4 linked regions of the Yarrowia lipolytica genome follow. Each later gene encodes a partner of the first gene's protein in a complex. Links are inferred from orthologs where the notes say so. Each region holds a gene or a part of one and is shown in the gene's direction. Other genes may lie near its edges.

What was found.
Region 2: YALI1_A19974g (region 1) and YALI1_B18207g share a complex: the UniProt entries of both Saccharomyces cerevisiae proteins name them as parts of the U4/U6-U5 tri-snRNP complex. The link is inferred for Yarrowia lipolytica from reciprocal best matches to the Saccharomyces cerevisiae genes SMD3 and PRP31.
Region 3: YALI1_A19974g (region 1) and YALI1_F09803g share a complex: the UniProt entries of both Saccharomyces cerevisiae proteins name them as parts of the sm core complex. The link is inferred for Yarrowia lipolytica from reciprocal best matches to the Saccharomyces cerevisiae genes SMD3 and SMD2.
Region 4: YALI1_A19974g (region 1) and YALI1_C14516g share a complex: the UniProt entries of both Saccharomyces cerevisiae proteins name them as parts of the sm core complex. The link is inferred for Yarrowia lipolytica from reciprocal best matches to the Saccharomyces cerevisiae genes SMD3 and SMX2.

The regions. Positions count from the first base shown.
Region 1 is NC_090770.1:1,995,542-1,998,810, forward strand, and holds YALI1_A19974g (uncharacterized protein), read left to right. Parts: upstream 1-1,848; coding exon 1,849-1,893; intron 1,894-1,993; coding exon 1,994-2,054; intron 2,055-2,470; coding exon 2,471-2,682; downstream 2,683-3,269. Other genes in the region: YALI1_A19965g (uncharacterized protein), read right to left, coding at 1-904. UniProt on the Saccharomyces cerevisiae protein: Plays a role in pre-mRNA splicing as a core component of the spliceosomal U1, U2, U4 and U5 small nuclear ribonucleoproteins (snRNPs), the building blocks of the spliceosome. Also binds telomerase RNA and is required for its accumulation.
Region 2 is NC_090771.1:1,818,805-1,823,215, forward strand, and holds YALI1_B18207g (uncharacterized protein), read left to right. Parts: upstream 1-1,954; coding exon 1,955-3,523; downstream 3,524-4,411. Other genes in the region: YALI1_B18190g (uncharacterized protein), read left to right, coding at 295-1,089; YALI1_B18205g (uncharacterized protein), read right to left, coding at 1,480-1,746. UniProt on the Saccharomyces cerevisiae protein: Promotes the association of the U4/U6.U5 tri-snRNP particle with pre-spliceosomes to form the mature spliceosomal complex.
Region 3 is NC_090775.1:978,317-982,035, forward strand, and holds YALI1_F09803g (uncharacterized protein), read left to right. Parts: upstream 1-2,065; coding exon 2,066-2,079; intron 2,080-2,766; coding exon 2,767-3,100; downstream 3,101-3,719. Other genes in the region: YALI1_F09788g (uncharacterized protein), read right to left, coding at 1-503; YALI1_F09802g (uncharacterized protein), read right to left, coding at 806-1,900; YALI1_F09833g (uncharacterized protein), read right to left, coding at 3,353-3,719. UniProt on the Saccharomyces cerevisiae protein: Plays a role in pre-mRNA splicing as a core component of the spliceosomal U1, U2, U4 and U5 small nuclear ribonucleoproteins (snRNPs), the building blocks of the spliceosome.
Region 4 is NC_090772.1:1,449,903-1,453,215, forward strand, and holds YALI1_C14516g (uncharacterized protein), read left to right. Parts: upstream 1-1,741; coding exon 1,742-1,771; intron 1,772-1,824; coding exon 1,825-1,896; intron 1,897-2,392; coding exon 2,393-2,521; downstream 2,522-3,313. Other genes in the region: YALI1_C14500g (uncharacterized protein), read left to right, coding at 174-803. UniProt on the Saccharomyces cerevisiae protein: Plays a role in pre-mRNA splicing as a core component of the spliceosomal U1, U2, U4 and U5 small nuclear ribonucleoproteins (snRNPs), the building blocks of the spliceosome.

The DNA.
Region 1 (3,269 bases):
CAATAGAAGATTCCTGGATCTGGTTGAGAATGTAAATATTGGATCCTTGAAAGAAGGTCTTCCGTGACTCCAAAGTGTCATTTTCGTCCTTCTTGATTGTTCTGTGCACAATACCGACCTCTGAAAGCAGAGCAAAGGCCCAAGATGAGGACTTGGGGTCAGGAGGAGTGGCTGACAACATGGCAGCTCTTCCGTTATCGGCACCAAACTCCTGATCTACGTGTTCTTCACGCTCAAAGAACTTGGTGTAGACGGGAATACCGTCCTGCAGGTGGGCAGAGATCTTGCCAGAGTAATAGTAGGCATGTCCATTGGCGTTTGTCACAATGATTTTTCTGTAATTTGGGCTGGATCCGAGCTGAACAACGATTCCGGTGATGGGTGTCACCACGTGGCTATCGGCAGCTTTGAACTCGGCTACCTTGCGCACGTATCTGTCTTCCCGCTTGAAGTACTCGTCCGAGAACTCCAAGCATGTCTCGTAGACGCAGCCGTCTGCCGTTCCCAGTAGCACCTCTCCTGAGCTCAGAGAGCTTTCGATGGGGGACCATGCCACGCATGTGATTGCCAGGTCTCTCAATCGGCCCAGAGACTTGACCTTTGTCGTTTGGTAGTTGAGCACATAATTGTCGCGGGTCTTGGTGGCGATGAGTAAGTAGGAGCCGGTGGGGTCGAGAAACAGGTTCTCAATGTCACATCCGCCGTCCTTGACGTCCACGTCATCCACGCTTTCGGGGTTGTCGAGGTCAATTCGAATGATTCGCCCAGACTTGAGCGCCAGACAGAGAGTGTTGTTGGCCACCGCCAGAGCCACGATCGACGAGATGGCGAACTGGAACTGCACGGGCTCGACCGCAAACTTTTCGCTTTCCACAGCTCGGTTAGGTTCCGGGGGAAAGTCCATGCTGGTGCGATAATTACTTGTAGGGCTGGTGTTGGTGATGTGGAGCTGAGCTGTGCATGCAGATGTCCAGCGAGCTTAATGGAGGGTAGTTGGATGGAGTTCCATAGGACCTACAAAATGTGAATACAGTATTTGTATGAATGCTGGGAAGTAGATTATCTGTAGAAACATTCATGCTGATTAAGGGAGATGTGAGAATTACTTCTCTCATGGTCAGAAAGTTGACGATTTGCTTTTCCCAGCATGTTTCGGCCTGGCGCTATATCATCCTGGATATCTGATCTCTGTACATGGCTGATTAACGTCAGTTGATAGTCACCTTAAAATGTGAACAGGGGGATAAGACAGGCCAAAAAATTACATACAGTATAATTATACAGTAGCTACTTGTACTTGTACTTGTATAATTAAATGAATGTATATGCAGAAAAAAAAAATTGTACAATATACAGAATGTACAGTACAATACATACTTATATTATGTTATAAAAATTGTACAATTCACTTGTACAATATATGATGATACTGTATATAAATAAATAAAAAACCACCACGTAAAAACAAGACGATATAAAGACAACAATGTAGCCCAGTAATAAAAAAAGATGGTAATTTAGAAGAATGAAACACTGCTGAAAAAGAGATCAGACGAATTATCTAATTACAAGTGAACATACCATAGCTACAATAGTCACAAACTGGAACCCTTTTTCGTTCTTCTTCGTCAACTAATATTGACAGGAACTTGTTTATCTTGTCATAATCACGGAGAGCTCTTTCTCACCAATAATTCGGTTAAACGAAGCTTGTACCCCCAACAGTCAGCCATATATCGCATTTCGTAGCACTCTTCCCTATTCTAAAAGTTTAGCCTCGCCACCACTCCTCGTGTGCTACACCAACTCTATCCCGATGAACATTTCTGCAGCACCACACATCACACTATGGGAGCTGGCGGAATTCCATTAAAACTCCTCAGCGAGGCTCAGGTGAGTAAAGAAAAACAGAGGAGGAGTTGACATGATGCAGCAAATGGCGTATGGGCACGACTTTTGTGTCGCCACACACCCCAGAACATAACTAACACAGGGTCATGTTGTCACCGTTGAGCTCACTTCAGGACACACTTATCGGGGAAAATTGATTGAAGGTGAGTACAGAATAAGGGTATTGTGGCAACTTGAGGGATGTCAGCGGAGTCAGGACCTCGCTTCAGCTTGGTGTTGCTCGCTCGCTCAGAATCTCGCGAAGCTGGGTATCCATGTGATATTAAATTAGCACCATGTGATTGTGCCGCAGAGACCGAATTGTTCGTGGAGGTTAGACGACAGATAGGGCAAGCTGCTGAACGGAGCTTCAATGGAGCGGTTTACGCGGAAAGATGGACCATTTGTTATGTGTCGCTGCATTGATGGAGTTGAAATCGACCGTGGCTTATCAGAGGACGACCATAAGCAAGCATAAACGTTTCATTTCAACAAACGAGATCATGCGGCTCGCAGCTGTTTCTCAGAAACCTGGATATACTGCCAAACACTTTCCCCTTAGACCACCATACTAACTCAGCGGAGGATAACATGAACGTGCAGATTCGAGACGTGACCGTCACTGCGCGAGGAGGCCGAGTGTCGCATCTCGAGCAGGTTTACATCCGAGGATCCCACGTGCGGTTCTTTTCCATCCCCGAGATGCTGAAGAACGCGCCCATGTTTCGGCCTCAGACTCTGGCTGCTGTGCGAAGCAGCAGAGGCCGGGGCGGACGGGGACGAGGAAGATGATGTATGTATTTGCTGGCTAGATGTAATGATGAATGTAAAATAGATATTGCGAGCACGAGCACGATAGTACGAGTACAGCACAGGTATCGGTACTGTACTGTAACTTCTGTGGGAATTTTGTCTACAGTAGCAATATTGTAGGCCAAGTAAATATGGTCATGATAGAGTAATTATCAGGCTGGAAGAAAAAACGAAGGCGAGGGGTCCGTATAATGAGGGAGTACGAGACCAAATGGGCACGTATAATACTCTTAAGGTCTTATAATTCATCCATTACTATTTTTAAGACCTCGAATACATCTCAAATCATACAAATACATTCCCTAAATTTTCTTCACATTTCATCTCATCTGCAACTAATTAGTGGGGTTAACCCTAATGGTGTTTCTTGACTGTGTGTCAATCATTCATAGTCCCCAAATTGCTCCGAAAGCGATATGTTTTCGTTAAATAATTCACTGAAACCAAAAACCCAGGCTTCATTAAACAATTAATCATTTCATCAGTTCCTATACCTCCTTTTTCTCCGTGTCCTGTCATCTCAGCTTTTCCGGGGCTTAAGCACACGTAAATACCTCCCAACACCT
Region 2 (4,411 bases), on another chromosome or scaffold:
TTCGGCATATGGTGGGATCCGTCTTATGCAGGTCCATGTACAGACAGGCCCCAACGGATATATAGTGGAGTCGGGCCGTACTTGTAAGGTGTATGAGCGTGTATTTTTTCACCGCGTGTACGGCTCTTTCAAAAAAACACGTTTGAATCGCCACTTCTTCACCTTTAACGCGCTTTGTCTTTGTGTCGAGCTCCACAAGCCCCCTGAAGACAGATCTTCCAAACAAAAGGTAATTCGCACATCTCCAACAAACAACACTATTTTCGACCGTCTAAAGAGCCACAAAAACAGCAAATGTCGTCCCTCAAGCGACTCAGCTACTACCGCACATCCGAGTCCGCCAACCCGAGCAGCTTCGAGTTCATCGAAACGGCGGAATCCGCACAACCAGACGTCCACATCAAGGTGGTGGTGGTAGGAGATGGAGGCTGTGGAAAAACATGTCTGCTGGTGTCGTACTCGCAGGGTGTCTTTCCCGAGCGATATATACCGACGGTCTTTGAGAACTACATAACCACGCTCAAGGGGCCCAAAGGAGAGATTATCGAGCTGGCGTTATGGGACACAGCAGGACAGGAGGAGTACGACCGGCTCAGACCACTCTCGTACCCAGACGTGGATGTGCTGCTGGTGTGCTACAGCGTGGACTCGCCGTCATCGTTTGAAAACGTGGCCGAAAAGTGGTTCCCTGAGGTGACGCATTTCTGTCCAGACACGCCAGTGGTGCTGGTATGTCTCAAAACCGATCTCAGAGCCGATTCCACATCCGCCCATTATCTCAAAGCTCAGGGACTGAGCCACATCACGCCGACGCAGGGCAAATCCATGGCACAGAGACTCGGAGTGTACAAATACATGGAGTGCTCATCAAAGGACATGTCTGGCGTTAGAGAGGTGTTTGCAGTCGCCATGGGAGCGGTGCTGAAGGAAAAAGGGAGATCAAAGAGAACCAAACCTGTGCGATCACAAAGTAAAGGGGCAGCGGCAGCAGCAGCGTCAGCCACACGTCCAAAATTACAATCCAGACCAGCCTCGGAACCGATCGAGAAGAAGAAGAAGAAGAAACGACACCAGTGCTTGGTGTTGTAGAAAGCATCAACCACAGCTAACAAGGGGTGATATAGTAATGCATTATGATGAGAAGGATACAAGAGGGCGCGACGTCTGTGTAACGGCAATGAACGGTAGCAGCCGTATTATTATATGTACGAGTACATATAATGTAGGAGTTGTGTGGTAGCTCTACTTGTGCATACTGTGCCAGTGGCCCAGTTCATCTACGGAGGTACAAACTGTAGAGTAGAATTTTTAATCCTACAAGTAGATACTTGTACTATAGACCTAGATCACATAACTCGAAATCTGAAAACCGGCCATTTACTCATCTCAAAGCACTCATCAGTTCATTAGAATACATTTATAAATAATCGTCTGCAAGTCCATCAGGCCCTTACTCGTAACTCGCAACTCCAAATTACACTACTCTTTGGTAGTGTCTACCTCGATGTCTCCGTCCTCCGTCTTCACCAGATCCTCATTCACGGTGTTGTAAAAGTGGCTCCACATTTCTGCGAGCTCTTCAGACTTTTGAGACAGGCCCACAGTGTGTTCCAACGAACGGTTCAGCGCGTTCAGGTTGTTGAGCACGTCTTCCATGCTGGCCGAGATGTTTTTGATGTACTGGTCCCGTTGTCGCTCGAAATAAGACCGTTTGTCTTCCGTAGGAAACATGCTGACTCTGCTCATGTTTTTTTTACAGGGCTTCCAGAGGAACTTGAGTGTCGTTCAGGAATACTTGTAGTTGTGATAACGCGTTTCACGGTGTCTTTGCACTTCGAAGTCCACTGCATATCGGAACTCTAAGTGTTCGAAAAGATCATAACTCTAAATATTGCATCCTCCCTCAATTACTGTATCACCATCAAAAGGCTGAGCTCACCCCCACAACGACATAATGGGCCTGGCTGACGAAATTCTGGCCGATTTTGGCTCCAGCGACGAAGAAAATGAAGAGGTGGACGAGGTGATGGAAGATGCGACTTCCCAGATCCCAACTGAAGTCATTGCAACCGAAACCACAGAACCTCTGTCGCCTACTCCACTCAATAACATCAACCTGGACCTGCTGGGGTCCACCAACTCGGCAGCAATGGTCCCCAGACTTCTGCCACAACTCAGAAGCATTTCTCTGTACGAAAGTGGTGCCACTCAGTCAACTCTCGCACTCACATCAAATCTAGAAGAGAATCCAGAGTACCATGTGATTGTGGGAGCAAACGAGTACTCGGTGGAAATCGACAACGCAGTAGCTGAGCTGCACAACTTCATCGCCACTAGATACAGCCAGCGGTACCCCGAGCTCAGATCACTCATCGCCAACCCACTACAGCATGCACAGGTAGTGGCCATTCTTGGAAACGATCCCGCAGCAGTGGCAAAGTCAGATAGCCCGCACTTAAAACAGGTGGTGCACAAGTCAGTGATGATGACTATTACCATGACTGTGGACCAAGGGGGACGACGACTCTCGGACGTTGAGATGGCCACTATAAACGAAGCTTGTAAGCTACTGATAGCATTGGACGCTGCTAAGCGCCAAATCACTAACTATGTCTCCTCGAAACTGAACCTCGTTGCACCCAATACGGCCATTCTGATTGGTGCTCATTGTGCAGCTCAGATTCTTGGATTTGTGGGTGGTCTCAACGGTCTGGCAAAGACCCCCTCTTGCAACATACCTTCTCTAGGAGCTAAGCGAGAGACTGCGGTGGGGTTTGGACAAGCACAAAGACAGCAGGGTTACTTGTATTACTCGGATGTGGTACAACAGAGTCCTGCTGATATCAGAAAGCAGGCCATGCGAATGTTGTCAGCCAAGCTAGTACTTGCAGCCCGTTTGGATGCCTCTAGAGCATCTACAGATGGATCGTTCGGATCTAAAATGCGAGAGGAGATTGAAGGAAAGTTGCAGAAACTAGCAGAGCCCCCGGAGATAAAGGGAGTCAAGGCCCTACCTGTTCCTATCGACAAACCCTCAAAGAAGCGAGGTGGAAAGCGGATCAGAAAGTTCAAGGAGCAGTTCAAGCAGAGTGAAATGGCTGCTGCTGCCAACCGAATGGCGTTCGGAGAGGCCGAAAAGACTGTGGACGTTTACGGAGAGACCGTGGGTCTGGGAATGTTGGATTCTGCTGCTGGCCTGGGATCAGCTCGAAGAGTTGAAGCTGATTCCAAGACCCGTGCAAGAATGTCCAAGGGGGCTCGATCGCGTTTGGAGATGCTCAAGAACCGTCCCAAACCTATGATCGACGGTCTTCAGTCGTCTTTGTCTGTTACGGCGCAGTCTATGGAGCTTAGTAAACCCAAGGGACCCAAGACGGCCACCCAGGATAACAAATTCTTTGCCTCAGGCACGTTCACACAGCTGGAGAGGGGCAGCGGATTGCAACTAGGCCCTAAGCGAAAAGCTGACGAGCAGAAGGACCGTGGCACTACCAAGAAGTTGAAGGAGGGTGATGGAAACTGATACTGCTTCAGCATGTAACATAAATGATAATTTATTGACCCTACCTATAGCGTACGCGCGACTAATGATGTGCGACACATATACACGTACTCGAATATATGACTGTACCGTACGAATACATACTCGTACTTACAGCCGTTATCGACACATGCTATACGTGCATACTCGTCTGGTACAACAGCTTCTCTACGCAGACAGATCAGCATATTGGCAGCATTGCAGCGGTACGACAAAGAACGTATTTTATAAAAAAATACGAGATGAAATATACGAGTATTTCACTACTGCAACACTTCTCGCTCTCTCTTTCCTTGCTTCTCATTCCTGTGTGCCCAAAATCCAACCAACGCCCCCCTCCATTCAACTCTCAACTAATGTGCGTTAGACTCATCCAACTATAATATGCTGCATTCAGGGCCCTCTATTTCTCAAGTCAAGGAGCTGACCGTGTGTCGTGAGGGAAGCCATAAAAGGTACACATGCCGCCTAAACAGAGGTTCGAGGTATTATGAGGGGGTGGTGTTTTCCTTTTCAAAATTCCGCGTATTTTCATTCATTTATCATATGTACTGTACAGTATGTACTTTCTGATGGGTGGTTCCTCCGGCAACGGCAGTGTAGCTTCTTTACTTCCGTGCCCTATGCTTACAGTAAATACAGTATATGCTTGGTTCATAATGCGGCAAATAAGCTGCCGATGGGAACAGGGTGTGGAGAGAGAGAGAGAGAGAGAGAGAGAAAGGAGATAAGCAGTTCAGCGGGTCTACAAAAGTATAGCGCGCTACTACTACTACTGTAGTGAGTGTTTAGAGTCGAAAATGTGAATCAAAGTCCCAAGTCAAGACTTGTACTAACCCCCAAGACGTCACACGCATAATGATCAGTGTA
Region 3 (3,719 bases), on another chromosome or scaffold:
GCTCTGTACCGTGCTATAGACAGCTCATCGTACCGAGCCAATCCTGCAAACAATGCGACGACATTTCTGCGGTTGCAGCACCTCTGAACAAATGGCTTCAGCACAGGGATGTCCGCATCTTCAACTCGCAGTCCGGTGACCTTCTCCATGCTTTTGGTCAGCACAACTCGGCATTGAAATGAGTGTCCTGAAACGTGAATGATGGAAACATGGTGACTTTCACCCGTCCAGTAGGAGTCGCCAATCGACAATTTCAGGGTATGGAAAGCCGTCTGTAATTGGCGATTCGAGGTGATTTCCTTGTTCAGCTGGGCTCCAATTTCTCCTTCCAGTTGCTGAGTATCTATCTTGTCGTTGTTGCTGGTGAGCAGCTGCTGTACGAGCTCCTGAGCGTCGTTTTCGGCACTCTGAGAGCTTTCTAGCTTGCGTATCTCCTCTTCAAGAGCAGCCACGCGCTTTCGATACAGCTGGACGCGTTGCAATAAGCCCTTTTGTGTCGTCATGAAGTGTGGAACTGAAGTCACAAGAAATCAAGACACGCGTGGCATGATGCATGAAATATGCACAACACCAGATTTATATAATTTCCGTCTAAAATTTGTAGAAATGCCAAACTACGAGAGTAGCCATTAATTGGTGATAAACAACCTGTAATCTGGTTCAAAATACCCCTCTCTCTGTCTGCTTGTAGTATGTCATAATACTACCCATTCTTCCGATTTTCCCCCATCCAATTCACTTGATAAGCAATAAGCAATAAACAACAAAAAAACAATGCAATAAATAGATACATACCGGGGGCTCTCTACTTTCCGGTCAACTTCCAACCTCTTCCCACAGGGGTACTGAAACATTCACAGTGGTAGCCTCCATAGAGATCCTTCAGAATCCATTCGAAAGAAACGCCCTTGAAGCCCTTCCAGCGGTTGCTATTAGCACTCCACTTCTTCTCCATCTGCTCCTCTAACATTTCCTGGTACGACTGCTTTTTGAGCATGTTTATAAACCATGTTCGTGCAGAGGCACCCAGTTTCAGAAACACACCCACGTTAGGCACACAGACATTGTACATTTGAGCCTCTTGAGGATTCATGGTCAGAAACCCGCTCTTGACGAGAGTAGAAGCATTGGGAAGTTCATCGAAGCCAAACTCCACCCGACTTGGATGGGACAATAAAAGGATCTTGAATTCCTCCAGAGCCTTCTTCTGATTTGCCACCTTGCACTCTTGTATGCTCTGATCCAGCAGCTTGTAGAACTTGTCTGCCTCCATTAGAAGCACGCCTTCATCAACGTTATTGACTGCCACTTTTCGCAGTAGTCCTGCCTCGACGGCGTCGTTCACCCGTCTCAAGACCAACGTAGGCTCTCTCAGGCTGTATGCGTGCACATGGGTCATCTTGACTAGAGGAGGCACGTTCTGACGAGCTTCATAAGTAGGAGCTGTGTACGCCTTTCCGATTGGAATCTCCTCGTACATGTTATCCAGAATCTCTCTCACCACCTGCACAATGTCGTCTCCCAGACTGTCCTGCTTCTCCTGGTTCTTCCACTTGAGATCGCTCTTGAGAGACGTCACTGGCAGCTTCTCCTGTTGGTTTGCCTTCAGGTAGTCGGCCTTTTGTTTTTCGAGCTGGTTGATGAACGCCGCCTGGCCGGGCATTAGAGGCGGCTCCTTGGCCCGTCGTTTGCCCACTCTATAAGACGTCGATGCCGTGAACTTCATGTTGTGTGTGTGTTGATATGAGGGTGCGTGTAAGATGTGTGTTGAGATACGGTGAGGTGCATGAGCAGAACGGTGGCAAATCAGGACATGAGATGTGACAGAGAGGCAGTCAAATTGCAGTGTCGGTCTTGGTGTCTTTGTGTCTGTGTGTGGTACTCGCTGGCTTCTTCTCATGAGGGCTGGATCAGACTCAGTTATTTTGGAATCTGGTCACATGACTGCATAAACTTTAAATTCTGCCGAACGCAAAAATCATCACTCCTTCACTATGCATGAAATCCTATCACCGTGTGTACATCACCACTTTACACCACGCAAAACCACATAAAAACAGCACAGATGGACAACCCAGCGTGAGTATAACGAGAAAAGCGGGATTTGGGGAGGATGATCAAACGAGACGGACCAAATGATGGCTGGAATACGTGATGGATGATGCGATTGTGAAGTGATTTGTGGAACCCAAGAATGAACGGTGTGCGACAAGCAGACACTGTTATTGTTTGGACCCGAACGGAGAGTTGTGACAGCGTTAAGTGAAGGGATTGACTTTTTGAGAAGCTGTGAATGCCTTAATCAACTTCTTTACTAGGTTAATAGTCTCATGTAACAGTCAGATGAAAGCATGACTGCCCAAGACGCACGCCCGCAATCACTCCTACCACTCCGAACGACATCCCTAACATGGCACTTCGCGAACGGCACTGTGAGCACGGTATCTTGGTTGTAACGTTCACTGCGGATTGTCTCACGATTCATGACACACGAGCATGAAACAATAAGCAAGATGAATGGTACAAACATCAGCAAACAGCAGGATGCTTGACTGGCGGTCACACAGACATATATGGGGGACAGTTATACCACCGTCTCCCTAGTTTCGCCATTGTTCAACATGCCTAATCTTGGCTCTATTCATCATCCTTGATTGTGCCTGACGTCCGATACAGACAGACCAGACATATCCTCAGGCGCACAATGCATCTTCTACTGTTGTCTACCAGACCTGCGATCCTCACACCCGTCTTATACTAACCCAGTGAACTCCTAAACAAGGACAAGTCCACTCTCACCGACGTGGAGCTCCAAAAGCTCGAGGAGTACGAGTTCTCACATGGCCCCCTGTCGCTGCTGCAGCGGGCAGTACAGAACCACACACAGGTGCTGATATCGTGCCGAAACAACAAAAAGCTGCTGGCCCGAGTCAAGGCGTTTGACCGGCACTCCAACATGGTGCTGGAGAACGTGAAGGAGATGTGGACGGAAAAAACGAAAACCGCCAGCGGCAAGCCCGGCAAGACCGTCACCAAGGATCGGTTCATCAGCAAAATGTTTCTGCGAGGCGACACCGTCATTCTCGTCGTTTCTGCATGAAAGGGAGGTTGTATAGTAATTATTTATGCATTTGAAGGAGGGGGTACTTGTAGATGTGGCTGTAAAATGGACATCCACCACCGCTGTATTAGCATCGCGCATTGAATAAAATAAATAGGCAGTAGGCATATATACGTTAGTCCCGTAACCATTTTAAGCGGCTCTGGTTGGTCTACTACTTGGTCAATGAGACTCTTGATAGTGGTGGTAATAGGGAAGGGTTGCCGTCAATTGCACTCTTCATCGCACTCCTCAGAAGTGTTTTGCATCGCCCGGATAACACCTCTTCATTACCTCGGTCATCTCAAAGCGATACTCCTCCTTATTCCATCCCCTGAACATGAGACACAGTCCATGGAGATGCGAGAATGTGTCCATGATGTCCAACCCTGAAGTCTCGTCCACAACCACCAGATTGGACTCTGCAAACACCCTCTTTTCCCCAACTCCATCGACCACCACCTGGTAGTATGCCTCTGACTCCTCCATGCCCACGTCGATCTCTCGGTTGGGAATCTGAGCTGTTTCTTCATAAGCTGTTTCGGAATTCACAAACCACGAAACGACAATGCCATAGAGATCCAGACGAGTATGATGCACCACCTGACCGACATAGAGA
Region 4 (3,313 bases), on another chromosome or scaffold:
TGGCTAGTCACAGACGAGTTGAACAATAATAACGACATGTCAAACCAGCAACTAAAGTGGATAGTTCTGGTGGACACAGATGCAGGGACCAGGATCACAGCAAGGGTATATGAACAGCGTCGGGGAAGATGTGAGATGTGGTCGGACATCGAGTTTTCTTGGGAGTCGCATACATGTACGCAGTCACCCCCACTACCACATGGAACACTGTACCGCAAGGACACTGTAGTTCCATGAGACATACCTGGATTCAGGAAATGGTTGTACGAGGAGACCACAGTCGAGATACGAGGCACTGGCATCAACAGCTCCGACACAAACCACTGGCGTCAGCTGTCGACACCATGGCCGCCATGTTTCTGTGTTTTGCTACCGTTGCCATGTCTCTCTGTCATCAACACCTCGCCCCTGTGCACTCCGTCATCAACACCTCGCCCCTGTGCACTCCGTCTGTGTCACTAACCCCCCAACGTCATACTCACTTTCAATACGGTTCTGATGATGAAGAGGAATTGTCGTCGACAGTGTCCCCCAAGTTTAGTGGTTGGCGGTGCATAAAGTTTGTGTTAGTGTCGACAAAAGGCCGATTTGGCACTAGCGGAAAAGCGCCGATGAAGAGACGTTTTGAGCGCCTAATTTTGACACAACGACTCCAAAGGCCCGCAGCTGTGTTTCGCCGTTTTCCGAATGCCGACATCTGTCCTCAAAGGCCCTATTCGACGACCTTCAACAGCTCCCCGCCACTGCCGCAAGATGCCAATATAGTTTTCGTATCTGACAGAAAGTATCACGGGCAGGAATAGGACCCAGTCATAACAGACACTTATAACGTCGCCGAGAGAAAGGCGAGACGAGATCCAAGATGACCATGACACACTCGAAAACGGGCGACTCCCGGTCACCGGACAACCCCCCCCCCCCAGAGAGTCACCCAAACATCCTTCGATCGCGGCACCTCCCAAATCGTATCGAAAAACCAACCGAAACTCTGTTCAAACTGCATCCTCAAACAAGAAACAAAAGTGATTTTTACAGCTTCAGAAATCCAGAGTGAAGAGCTGAGATGAATACAAGAACAAGACAATAAAACTGATATTGGCACATTTAAATACAACCCTCCACTCCGAGCCCCACTCAATCACGTGACCCCAAATTCCGGTCCACCACTCTTCTTGGTCAAATCACCTCGCACAATCGTACATATCAAATGCAGTTGTCCACCCACGTGTTGGCTCACCACATTCATGATTGGAGGGAGGACGCGACGACATCGGAGGGACCGTGAGAAGTGAGGTTAAGAGCACAAAAAAGGGGGATTATTAAGTACTTTTGCTGATGAATCCCAAATAGAAGGAGTTGATTTCCCCTGTTATTTTTCCTCCATTTCTGATCTCCTATCTTTCCGGACTTATCATATTTCAAATTAAAAATTTAGAAACATCGAAACTCCAACTATTTTTTATTTTTTATTGTTCTAGCAGTGAATTTTATCGAAACTAAAACAATTATAAAAAATCACACACTAATTAAAATCAATAAAAACACTCAACGAAACCAAACAAGAGAACAAAACTACAGCATTGCTCGTCAAACCACTACAAAATCCATATATATCACGTGACTCCCTTACCCTTCTCTCTCCCACCAACACTCTGCTGACTAACAAACTCTAGACTGCAGAAAACTTCACGTGACGGCTCCATCTCATCTCATCTCACCAGCACCACCACATTACACAAGAATGGGAACCAGCGTTCCGGAGCTGAAAAACGTGAGTACGGCAGCTAGCCAGCGGGATTATTTTCGGTCACGTGACTAACACAGTACATGGACAAGCGTCTCATTGTCCATCTCAACGGCGAGCGTAAGATCATTGGTGTTTTGCGAGGATATGATGTGAGTATTGAGGAAGGAGAGTACGATGATGACCGAGGTACTGATGGATAGTCAGATGGAGTAGTGACAGAGTCGAGCTGTTTTGACTAGCGCTGGATTGAGATCTGAGATGTGTCTCTACGTCTAGAGACTGACAGGTAGAACGAATCGACTCAACCAGAGCTCTACCACAGAGATATATACCTGGTGGTTGGACTACTGTCAACAAACTGGATATGAGTTAGCTGGAGACAACTGGACCTCCGCGAATGCCGACACATGTCATTTCAGCTCGTTTCCTACTCGGTCAATTCTTCTCACATGTCTGGCTGGTCAACAAAATCCTGCTCTGTCTGAGTTGTTTCTGAACATCATCTGTCTCAATGAACAGCCCGGGCCTTTAATGACTGTCTTCAACGAATCTAGACACAACGGATTCCGCGCATTATTGGTCTGTCAGCCGATTTTCGACTTCATTCATCTATGATGCTCCCACTACCGCTACGTACTAACTCAGGCATTCCTAAACATTGTTCTGGAGGAATCTGTGGAGGAAAAGGCCAATGGAGACAAGGTACAGGCCGGCATGGCTGTGATTCGAGGCAACTCTGTGGTCATGCTGGAGGCCCTTGAACGAATCCAGTAGACCCCGTCTACCTTGTATAATAAATTATTCAGTATTAGCGATGTGAAGGAGATTCTCTAGAGCTGAGGGACACTAGCGCAGTCAGAAGTAACCCCGCTGGAACTTGAGAGAGAAACGTAAGTAGTACCAGAAGAAAGCTAAGACGACTGGCCCGGTTCGGTTCAGGGCAACAGATCTGGAAAAAGGGTTCCTTGATAGCTCCAGTTCATTTCTGATTGGCCGCCGGTTGAACACTCGGGACCGAGTCTGCTCCACTGGTACATTCGAGTCGGTATTCCTGCTTGCCTGAGAAAGAAAGACCTTGAGGATCTTCTTGGTATCCTTGGCGCACCGGTGCTGGGAATCGATGGAAGTCACCGTCGGCTCCATATAGCCCAAGTCCACTCGGGATTAGAAACAGCTGTAGCAACAGAAATCCCACTTTGAATGTCAGTGAGACCCTCAAGCAATTTTGGCGGAACCAACAGCAATCTCAGCAGCGCCGAAGTAGGAGATCGCCTAAGAACTAAAGAGGGGAGGCTGGCCAATCCATGAGAGCACGTGATAAAATTCAAAGCGGTCACATGTTGCAGCTCTAGGCGAGCACGTGATGACCAGGACGACAAATGAAAGGGTGAAAGAGAGAAGAGGAAGATTCGAAGCATGACAATGACAAACAATCTTCCCTCAAAGTCTCGTGATGAGAAAATCCCACAATCTGTTCCAAATGGTCCAGCTGGTTTCGAGATGGTGGTAATGTTGGTGAATGGGGCTGTGAGGGCTCAGCGAGAGCAGAACATGTAATGTGATATA